2 linked regions of the Caenorhabditis elegans genome follow. The protein of the gene in region 1 purifies or fractionates together with the protein of each later gene. This does not show direct contact. Each region holds a gene or a part of one and is shown on either strand. Other genes may lie near its edges.

The links. Proteins that work in one complex are often made in the same cells at the same time.
Region 2: the proteins of E02H1.1 (region 1) and nol-16 fractionate together in Caenorhabditis elegans (co-fractionation; one large-scale study listed by BioGRID). This does not show direct contact.

The regions. Positions count from the first base shown.
Region 1 is NC_003280.10:9,588,448-9,593,933, forward strand, and holds E02H1.1 (putative dimethyladenosine transferase), read right to left. Parts: upstream 2,718-5,486; 5' UTR 2,701-2,717; coding exon 2,640-2,700; intron 2,594-2,639; coding exon 2,371-2,593; intron 2,321-2,370; coding exon 2,177-2,320; intron 2,120-2,176; coding exon 1,903-2,119; intron 1,851-1,902; coding exon 1,722-1,850; intron 1,670-1,721; coding exon 1,517-1,669; 3' UTR 1,418-1,516; downstream 1-1,417. Other genes in the region: eral-1 (GTPase Era, mitochondrial), read right to left, coding at 1-216, 273-623, 674-991, 1,057-1,197, 1,246-1,314; putative tRNA pseudouridine synthase tag-124, read left to right, coding at 2,959-3,004, 3,056-3,183, 3,231-3,355, 3,400-3,637, 3,687-3,837, 3,887-4,407; parp-2 (Poly [ADP-ribose] polymerase 2), read left to right, coding at 4,600-5,155, 5,200-5,277, 5,369-5,486. UniProt on the Caenorhabditis elegans protein: Specifically dimethylates two adjacent adenosines in the loop of a conserved hairpin near the 3'-end of 18S rRNA in the 40S particle.
Region 2 is NC_003279.8:8,252,117-8,257,437, reverse strand, and holds nol-16 (Nucleolar protein 16), read right to left. Parts: upstream 2,091-5,321; 5' UTR 2,086-2,090; coding exon 1,976-2,085; intron 1,930-1,975; coding exon 1,821-1,929; intron 1,705-1,820; coding exon 1,609-1,704; intron 1,487-1,608; coding exon 1,232-1,486; 3' UTR 1,126-1,231; downstream 1-1,125. Other genes in the region: sre-23 (Serpentine Receptor, class E (Epsilon)), read left to right, coding at 2-124, 172-308, 354-462, 929-1,078; fitm-2 (Acyl-coenzyme A diphosphatase FITM2), read left to right, coding at 2,518-2,546, 2,595-2,664, 2,741-2,940, 3,080-3,181, 3,227-3,383, 3,431-3,616, 3,693-3,800.

The sequences.
Region 1 (5,486 bases):
GACTCGCCGTCCGATCTCCGAAATCCGTTTTCCTCCCTTTCCAATTATCAAGGATCCATCTCTTGGCTTTTGGCACCGTATTTCTCCAACAATTTGCAAAACTTCTCCCTGCTCTTCCCATTCTGAAATTCGAATTTGTACAGTGTACGCGACATCGGATGGAGTTGTGTCAAGCACTGCAGCACGGATCGAATCAATGCAAAGTTGTTGGGCAGACTGGAAAATTGATATTTATAAATATACACTTTTGGAGTTTTTTCTTCCAAATTTACCTCTCCAGTTGGCATTCCATCTTGCATTTTCCATTCTCCCTGTGGAGAGATGCTCATCAAATGATCTCTCAACTCATCAATACCCTCTCCGTTCAACGAAGAAACGAAGAAGACACGTTCGAATCCAGACCATCCACAAATCGTACGGAATAAGGAACGTGTCTCAGAATAACTGCATTTCCACGTGGGTTTCTGAATAAGCTCTCGAAATTGGCTCTGCCATTTCTCATCGGATGGTTTGAAGGAAGATGATGATTGAATATTTGTGGAGAGTGATTTTCCAAGTCGTCCAATTTGAGCAGGCTTTGTAGAAATTTGTTGATTGTCGGATAATTGACCATTAGTGAGAATCTGGAATAGTTTTTTGTAATTTAGAAGTTCAAAATTTTCTCCGAACTTACTTCAACTAAAGGTAATAAATCGGATCTTCTCATAACCAAGTCGATCTTGTTCATCACCAGAATACTTGGAACATGCGAATATCTGTGAAGCATATGAAGAACACGATGATGAATGTATGCTCCAGGTGCTGTCGAGTCTTGCACAACGAGCACGTGTTGAGCTCGTTGGAGGGCTCGCTCCGGATCCTGAAGCACACGATCTCCACTTGTTGCACTAGTTTTCTTCATGGTTTGGCGGACATGGGACGTACTAACAGCTCCAGGAGAATCGACAAACACGAGTTGAGTGGAGTCGCTGCAGATTGAAGCAGAGATGTTCTGAAAATAAATATTTTTATGAAGTTTGTACAAGAAATTTGAGAAATTAAAAATGAAAATCTTACCCTTGTCGTGGTGTCCATTTTACTGCTAACTGCTGATAAAGGACACCTGATTAGTGAATTCGTTAGAAGTGATTTTCCAACATTTGGAGCTCCGATAACTGCAAGTTGAAGACATTTTGTTGCTGGTTGTATTGGGGTTTTCTGAAAAATAAAATAAAATTATCAATCTTAAAATAAGAAAAGTAATACCTCATAGCTCGTAGAAGTTGAAGCCGTCGAGAAAAGTCTACACGAAAAGTTTAGCCGTTTTATAATCATCTGAAACTTTTCTTGAGTGAATTGAATTTTTTACGGAATTTTCAGTAACAAAAAAAATAAAAAGGTATGTCCAGCCTTAAAAGGTGTAATATAAACACAAGATATCAACGTATTTTTTTAATCAAAATTTTTGATGGCGCGAAATTCAACAAAACAAAGAACAAATGGATAACAGTAAAACAAATAAAGATGATTGTGATATTCAAGACAAAAAGTGAATATCTGCCTTGTTGAAAGCGAGAAGAAGTGCCAAAAAATCCTCAACTCTCATTTTTCGAGCGCGGCTTTCTCCATATCCCGAAGCTGTTAATGTCTCTTCAATAACCTTTTTCATGTTAAGATCCTTTGGAATTGGCTGAAAAATTTTGATTATTGGAATGAATTTGTTTAAGTATTAAAATACTTACTTTGTTTTTGAAACTGCATACTTTTCTGAAATTATCCTCGATAACCTCAATAACATTAGAAAGTCGGAAAATAGCCATCAGTGTCTTGTTTTTTCGCATGAAGCACAAACGAAGAAGTCCTTCCCATTCCTACAAAAGATAATTTTTCAATTATAAATTTCCATTTTAATAATCTACTCACGACAAAATTCACTGGCGGTGGTGGATTCTTGGGAGCGATTCTGACGACTGCTGAATCAACTTTTGGCGGTGGTCTGAATTCGGTTCTCTTCACTTTCATCAGCATCTCAACTTTAGCCAATAGCTGAACATTAACAGAAAGTCTACTGTAATCTTTATCTCCCGGTCGAGCAACTAGCCGGTCAGCAAACTCTTTTTGGAACATGAGAACTGCGTATCTGAAATTATTATATAATTTTCAAAATTACTGGTTGATGAGGTTAGATTAGTGATACCTTGGAAGTGGTCTATGTAATAACAATTTTTGCACAAAAGGAGATGAGATTTGATATGGAAGATTGGCAACACAAACGTCAAAGAATGGCCATTCCATTTTCATTACATCTCCTCCATTAACTTGTAATTTGTTTTGTAGAGGTCTGAAATATATTTATTTTAAATTCGAAAATATTTTTCAAAAAATACGTACGTTCCCATAACTCTTTTCTTGACTTCAGCAATCATTCTAGGATCGATTTCACATGCAATTACAGTTTTTGCCACCTCCAGCATTTTAACCGTCAAGTTTCCTGTTCCTGGTCCGACTTCAAGCACTGTATCGGTGGCTTTAAGAGCTGATTTCTCAACGATTGCATTCACAACTCCAGGATTTTTGAGAATATGTTGTCCTTTGTCGGTGTTAAATGGAAGTGCTATAAAATCAATGTTATGAATAGAAATTTTGCAAAAATAACATACATTGAACATTTCCAGTTGATGATCCTGCTTTCGTCTTTTTAACTTTACTCGTTTTTCCCATTTTGAGTTTTTTTAAATCTGAAAATGAACGAAAAATAATAGTATTTCTGAAAATAGGAAAATAATGAAAAGAAATAAAGGTAGAATGATTTGTCCACGTGAAGTACAAAACGTGGGACTAAAAAACAATTCTAGTCCGCGCGTCGTGTACTCCTCTCAGACAAACAGAAGTTGCACAATTTTTTGAAATCGATCCCTTTTAATCACTTTTTCCTATTCTTCTAGCGTTTAATTATTTTCTATTGATTTTATTTACACAATGGGGTCAAAAAGAGTATGCCCAGATGCAAATAATTCTGTAAAGTGTAAGTTTTAGGCCTGGGCTGAATATTAAATCTGAAAATAATACTTTTCAGCAAAAAAAGCAAAAACCCTGGATTTTCTCGCTCATCCTCGACGGAAGATTGCAATTCAGTTTTTCTATTTGGGCTGGGAGCATGATGGGCTTGTTCAACAACCGCATACACAAAATACGGTGGAAAATGTAAGAATTCTAAAATACTTTATTTAAATAAATTAAAAATGTTTCAGCATATCATGCAGGCACTAATAAAAACTCATTTAATTGAGGACTGGACGAAATGTGATTTTTCGCGTTGTGGACGGACCGATAAAGGAGTTTCCGCATTTAAACAAACTGCTGCAATGGTTGTTAGGTTTAAAATTTTTTTACTGAACTCGTTCTCATTTCAATTTTCAGATCTCTGTGTCCCGGTGACTCAGGAGTGTTTTGGTCAGATTCTACGCAAGAGCATCAAAAAGTGGACTATAAAGCTAGTGGAGAAGAGCTTCCCTATGTAAAAATGCTCAATGGAGTTCTTCCGAAAACCATCAGAGTCTTCGCCTGGGCTCCTGTCGCGCAAACGTTCAATGCCAGATTCGATTGTAATAGAAGAACATATAAATATTCTTTTGCTAAAGCTGACCTTAACTTAGAGGTTGGTGTATTTTCATTATATTTTTATCTTCAAATTATTATTTATTTAGAAAATGCGTCAGGGCGCGGAGCTATTGGTCGGTGAGCACGATTTTTCGAATTTCTGCCAAATCGATATGAACGAGAAAAGACTGCTGCAGTCTTATGTTAGAAAAGTCTATGAAGTCAAGGTAGAACAAGTATCGACTCATCCAGAAAATGGTATTGTTTATTTATTCAGAGAGTTTAGTTTTGACAAGTAAAACTTTAGATATGTATTCAATGGTGGAGCTCACTGTATCTGGAAGTGGTTTCCTTTGGCATATGATTCGATACATAGTCACGATCCTTCAAGAAATTGGAAGAGAAAATGAACAACCATCATTAATCTCACAGCTTCTTGACCTGAAAAAATATCCGAGCCGGCCGCAGTACACCTTAGCCTCGGACACTCCTCTATGCTTATTCGATTGTGGATATAAATCTGAAGATGTTGAATGGAAAGTTCATGACTATACACTGAAAAGTACAGTGACCGGACTACAAAAAACCTGGGCGACGTATCAGGCGAGAAGTCGAATGATGGAAAATATGCTCGGAGAACTGACTGGAATGGCTGAATTCAGTTCAGGAGATGCCAATAAAGGACTTCACGAATTTGTACAAGATCGTCCGATACCTTCAAATTACATAAGGTTTGAGAATAGGAAAATGTGTGAAAGCCTGGAGAGCAAGAAAGAGAAAATGGCAGAAAAGAAGAAAAATGGAGAAGAATCTTCGGATAAACTATGAGAGTTTAATTGTTTTTTAAGTTATTAATACGGTTTTGTTGTTGATTTTTTTGTTTTTAAAAATATATGTTTCTGTTTTTTGATCAATTTTTTCCTTTTTGTTTGATTTATTGGTTTCTGAAATCCAAATTTATTTCTGAAAATTGTAAGAAGTTGTCTTTATAATCGAATTTCCATTTCCAGCTAGACAGAAATGTCTATAATCAACGACGAAAATGGAAGAGGCTATAAAGTACATCTTTGCAAGACGAATATTGCACAGAACAACAATAAATTTTACGATATGGAATTGTTGGATGAGGGAGGTGATTTCATTGTGAAGCTTATCAATGGACGTATTGGATATCGTGGTGTCACACAATTAAAAGATTTCGATGACCTCGACAGAGCCAAGAAGTTCTTCGAAAGCAAATTCTACGAGAAAACTCATCTTCATTGGGAAGAAAGAGACGATGAACCGGTTCCCAATAAATATGCAGTCGTTGAGTTGGCTACTAACGCAAGACAGACTGAAAAAGAAGTTAAAAAGGAGGAACCGGAACCTGAGCCGAAAGTTGATGAGAAAAATACACGTGGAAGGAAGAAAAGAGGAATTGTTAAAGAAAAGAAAGAAATCAAGAAAGAAGAGGAACCAGTTGAAGAAGTTAATGAAAAGCTGAAGGAATTGATGAAATGCATCTGCGACGAAGATGTTCATCTGGGACTCTTGAAACAACTGAAATTTAACGAAGCTTTTGGAAGACCAATTGGTGAGTTTTAAAAAATCGTATTAAAAAATTAGAGAAAAATTCAGATTGCCTCTCACTTGCCCAACTCACCACTGGATATGAAATTTTGAGTAAGATTGAGGAATCGATTGGAGGAAAATCAGGTATTTTATGAAATTTTGTAAATTTGAAGTTTTAAGTTGAAAAATCTAAATTTAGGCCATTATCTTCCCTGAAAAATGGAAATTCTTTTAGCTCGAAGATCTACTCGTGGCCGGCCACGAGTAGCTGACCGTGTTCTTGCTGTTAAATCCGATGGTCCATCTCTTCACGACATCAACAAATATTATTCTCTCATCCCTCATTCATTTGG
Region 2 (5,321 bases), on another chromosome or scaffold:
GATTTATGCATTGGTTGAGTATTTTAATCAGCAACGGCTGATGACATTGGAACGAGATCATCGGACTACGAACTACACATTGAGTATCAGATATCAATTGAAAGAGAATCTCAAAACATTGAAGGTAAGCGAAAAATCGAGATTATTTCTAGAAATGATACATTTTTCTAGGTAATGCGTCGATTTTTCATTTCAATCATTTTAATTATAATAGCAATGGGGCTTGGTAATTCACTTCCAGTCATTTTAAATTTAAATGAAGATATCATTCTGACTGTCCGTGTTTATATGGATTATGTTTTTCATTCGTAAGTTGCTTTTTCCTTTTGAAAACTTTTAAATCTTTTTTTCAGAAATCCCGTATTTCTAGTGCCAACTGCAATTTTCACAATTGAAAACTATCGAAAATACACGTTCAATAAGGCTAGAACCACTTTTGGAATGAGAATCGACAGTCGTAAGGTAACTAATTTTTGTATTTTTCGCTTGAAAAGTCCAAAATAGTTTCAAATTCAGAAATACCACAAAAGAAAAACAAAAACATCGCGAAAGTATTAAAAATCCAGCTTTTTATCACGCAATATCAATTTTGGCAAAACTCCATATTTGAACTTCCTCCAAAATGAGATGCCACGCCCATTTTCGAACCAATCAGCGTCTTCGAACATCTGATTGGTTCAAAAGTGGGCGAAGCGAATCGATGATTGGTCGCAGTTTTCATTTCCGAGGAAGTTCAAACAGAGAATTTAGCCAAAATTGCAAAATCAAGTTTTTAAAAGTTGGATTTTTCACTCTGTCGTCATTTTTTTTAGTTTTTCTTTTTGTTATTTCTGAATTTAATAGTAAAACAACTTTGGATTTTTTAAAGCAAAATCCCCCGTTTATCCTGGTTTTTTTTCTTTGAAATTGTGTAAGTTCGAAATTTTAGGTTGATATTCGAAAGCTTCGCCCTCAAATGGACCGGGAGAGTGACATGTATTTTGAGATTTTCGAGAGGCAACTGGAAGGAGATGGTGCTTGTCGAGGAAAGATGCGCACTGGATCTTTGAGAAAACCGAAAATTAATGCCAAATATTAATCTCTGAAGAGCTGCTTAATATATCTGAAATGTACACAATGAATGTTAATAATTTTTGATTTTATTTGTAAAGGAACAAAAGTCCCCCATAACAGTATCAACAATAACAATAAAAGCTCAAACAAAAGTATCAAAAAATTTTGAAAAACAGTCTTATGCAGTTTCGAGGAATTTACACATCTCGGACTCTTTGTGTGTACGGATCTTCTTCGCCCACTGCTTCGGTGTGTATTGCCATAAATTCTTCGGATCACGAGTCATTGCTTGAAAATCTTCGCCGTGACGAGCCAGCATGTAGACACAAAGCTCGGTTTCTCTATGGAAAAGTCGGAATTTCCGGTCTTGTCCAGCTCGAGCTTCCTCTTCTTCTTTCACTTGCTGTTCCAGATTTGAGATAATGTGTGCTGCCTGGAAATAATAACAGAATTAAAACAATTGAATTAAATATTTAGAAACCGATTCATCGGACCTGCTTTTTTCAGAAACTAAAACTTTAGCGTTATTTACTACCAACTATGATTAAATTTTACCTGTTTCTCATTCTTTTTTCTTCCAGTAACTTTCTTTTCCGGTTTGGGAACAACAATACTGACACCGTCAATTGGCTCCGCGTCGATGATCTCTTTCTGAAAATTCAAAATTATGAATCAATGAGCATGAAATTTAATTTGGACTTCCGCAAGACAAAGTGCGCAATTAAGTTCCGTCAATGCACAACGCCTTGAAAAAATCGATAACCTACTCTGTGTTCAGCGATTGGAACCGCGTCATTTGGATTAAATGCGATACCCATGTCGCGGACGTTTTCTCGAGGAGTCTTAGTTTCATCCCATGTGTATTTGATAATTGGCCTGCAAGTCACTATTTAAATGGAAAAATAGACAAAAATTAACTCACACTGCACTTTTCGATAATTTTTTCTTGTTATCCTTCTTCTTGAGATATTTTTGTCGGTTTCTGCGGTTTGTATACGCTGGCTTTCCTCTCTTCTTTACATCACGTGCCATTTTTTCTGAAAAACAATAAAATTTCGAAATAAATACAATACAATCAGAGGAAAAACAGTAAAACCGAGAAAATAGGGAAAGATTCTTCGAAAAAATTTCAGGACGAAATGGAAGAGAAACTTGATGAGTTGTCGGATTCTAGGCCACCGTCAGTTTGTTTTTTTTTTCGTCGAGAATTATTTTAACAACACAATTCTTTGTTAAATGTTATATATTTTTAATACAATTTTGTTTTCAATGAAGAAAAAATATTATTATGTTCTCATAAAAACTAATTGGTGCTTTAAAAATCGCAATATTCGTCAATAAACCCGCCGGACTAGTTTTCTCCATTTAATTGACACTTTCTCGGGTTTTCCGATTAATTCGACGTGTGATAGTCTTCTTTTTCAGTTTTCATAGGTTATTAATTAATCAATTTTACAGATAATTATGTCAACAAGGCGTAGTTCTACAAGAGCGTATGTTTGAACTATAATTGTTTTTGACAAAATGAGTTGATTTTTCAGAGACTCCACAACAAAGCGACCAGCTTCCCCAAATAGCACGCCGAATGCTGCACTCGGGATTTTCGTTGCTGTAAGTATATATTCTTCAAAATAAAATTTAAACGAGAAAGTTTAATCGTTTTAAATATAAAATTTCAATATTGCAGATCGCTCGTCAAATTCTGTTCATCGATGCTCGAAAAGTTGCCCTCTTCTATCTGGCTTTTGTGACTGTGCTCTCTTTCATCGAGTCCCGTATTGAACTAGATTCCACGTATTATTTGGTCCAAAAGCACAGTGTTCTGAATCAATATGGAGTAAAAATGGGATGGTTTTGGACACTTGTCATCGTTGGTCCATTTATTTGGTAAGTATTCTTGAATTTTAATGACACTGATGTGAGGGATAAGTTAATGTTTCTCTCTTTTCTTGCAGAAGTTAATCAGAATCTAGTATTTTGTTATAATATGCAAATATTTTTGTTTCGAAAACCATAAAGTTTGCAGGTTCTCTTCAAAAGCTCACAATCGTCGTGATCGTGATCAACCAATCGTTGATGTGTGCCGTCTTGGAGTGGGAACCGCGTGTTGGTACTTTTCTGTGCAATTGTAAGCTTTATGCAATAATTCTTACTTAAACGAAAAAGTTTTCAGTTTCCACAAAGTTCTTGCACTAACCTCAATGTGTGACAAAGGACGTACTCTGACTCGTGCTCAGTGTTCCGAAAAAGAAGGTGTCTGGACGCCAGGATATGATATTTCAGGTCACTGCTTCTTGATGATCTACAGTATTCTGATTATCACTGAGGAGGTATAAAGAAAAAAAGGTTTCAGAAAACAATATGGGAATGTTTACAGGCGATTGCTTACCGTCATTATCAACAAGTAACTGATGCAGTTCATCAAATGGACGGTGATCGTGAAGAACATGATCGTTTGACTCGATGCATTCAATATTTCTTCGTCGCAATGTTGTTCCTTCATGCATTCTGGTTCAAGCAAATTATCATCTCCGTTCTTTATTATCATATCTTCATTGAAGAGGTAATCATATTTTGCATCTCAGAATAACAATTTGTATTCTTCAAAAATTTAATTACTCAATTTCCCTATTTTTCAGATTCTCGGAGCTGTGGCCGCTGTCGTTTGCTGGTTTGTGACCTACCGCATGCTCTATCCAGCCGGATTCTTGGCCTCCCCAATTCGCCGGACTGTGGGCAGAAAATAAATATTATCAATGTGAATATTTTCAAAATTCTAGTCCTCCTTTTGTGTGTTAATTAAAATCCTGAAATTTAAACTTTTTGTAAAATCGTCTTACATCCCCTCTATTGCCTCGTTTACTGGTTTCTCCTTTAATTAAGTAACTGTTAATGTTCTGTTTTTGTTTTATTTATATAAATTCATTATCATATATTTAAGTCTTATTCATAAAATTTACACGCGATCATTGGGTAGCAAGGCTTTTATCAGTAAATACGCGTTGTCGACCTTAAAACTGTTGAATCAATGAGAAACAAAAATTCAAGAAAATTACAAATTCACACGATATTTCAATAATTTACAGTAATCCATTTTCACTTCAATTGAATTTCTTGTTGTGTTCATACTTTCACTTTGATTCTCCCATTCAATTTCATAATTGGCTCCCCGAAGCAATATTTTTCATATCTCTGTGAAATAAATGATCTCGACACGACCGAATTATTTTAAATGAAAAAGAGTGTGCGCCTTTAAAGTGTACAGTACTTTTCTTCGACTTTTTTTTAAAATTTAAACACTTGCTATTTAATGTGAATAACAGAAGTTAGACGTTTTGAAATAGAAAACGAGAAAAATCTAAAAATTGGGAAATAGCGAAGTGGGAAAACTACTGTACACCTTAAAGGCGCACAATCGTTTTAATTTAAAATTGTTCGATCGTGTCGAGACCGGGTACCGTATTTTCGTTCCGTAAACGCAACAAAGATAACGGTCCCACTAAATAACTAACCCAATCGAAATGTTTTTGTGTAGCTTGACCACATTATCGTCGAGATCATGTGTGAAAATTATGAAAGTAATGCATCTATAGTGATATTTGGTGGGGTTTTAATTATCCAGGGAGTATACGGAAGGTAGGTTTCGGAGTTTATGATAAACAAATGTAAAAGTCACGAGTTCAGAGATACGAGGTTTTTGCAACAACCCGATGGAGATCGAGGCCAGCAATCTAATATTTTAAAACAAGAAGTACTTAAAAAGATGATAAAATAAGGCAAAAAATTAATTTCTGGAATTCGTGGACAGTGTTAGATACTGTAATAACTCTTCTTCCAATCAAGCACAGAATATCCCTTCAAGAACGCATCGCAGTCTATGTGTAAGTTAAAAATTAAAAAAATATACGATACAATATTAAAAAGAACAAAGATGAATACTTTAAAAAACCGAAGTAAAGCATGGTCACCAGACCTAGGTCCTTAGGCTTAGTTGCTTAGCTGCTAATTCGATACGATAGGTTACATGAAAATTGATCTATATGATGGATTATATATACAGGGTGCGATTAACGTTTTGAATTTTCAAAATATCCCCATCCGCATCGCTGCAGGACCTCAGAACTTTTGAGATCTCAATTTTTTGGCACGCAAGTAGGCACTCTGCGGGATTTCTACACTTTTTCTCGAGGAATCCACAAGTGTCTTACAAGTTTTTATAGTTCAAAGAATGCTCTTGGTCTAGAGATTCCTAAAAAACAAAAATCCAA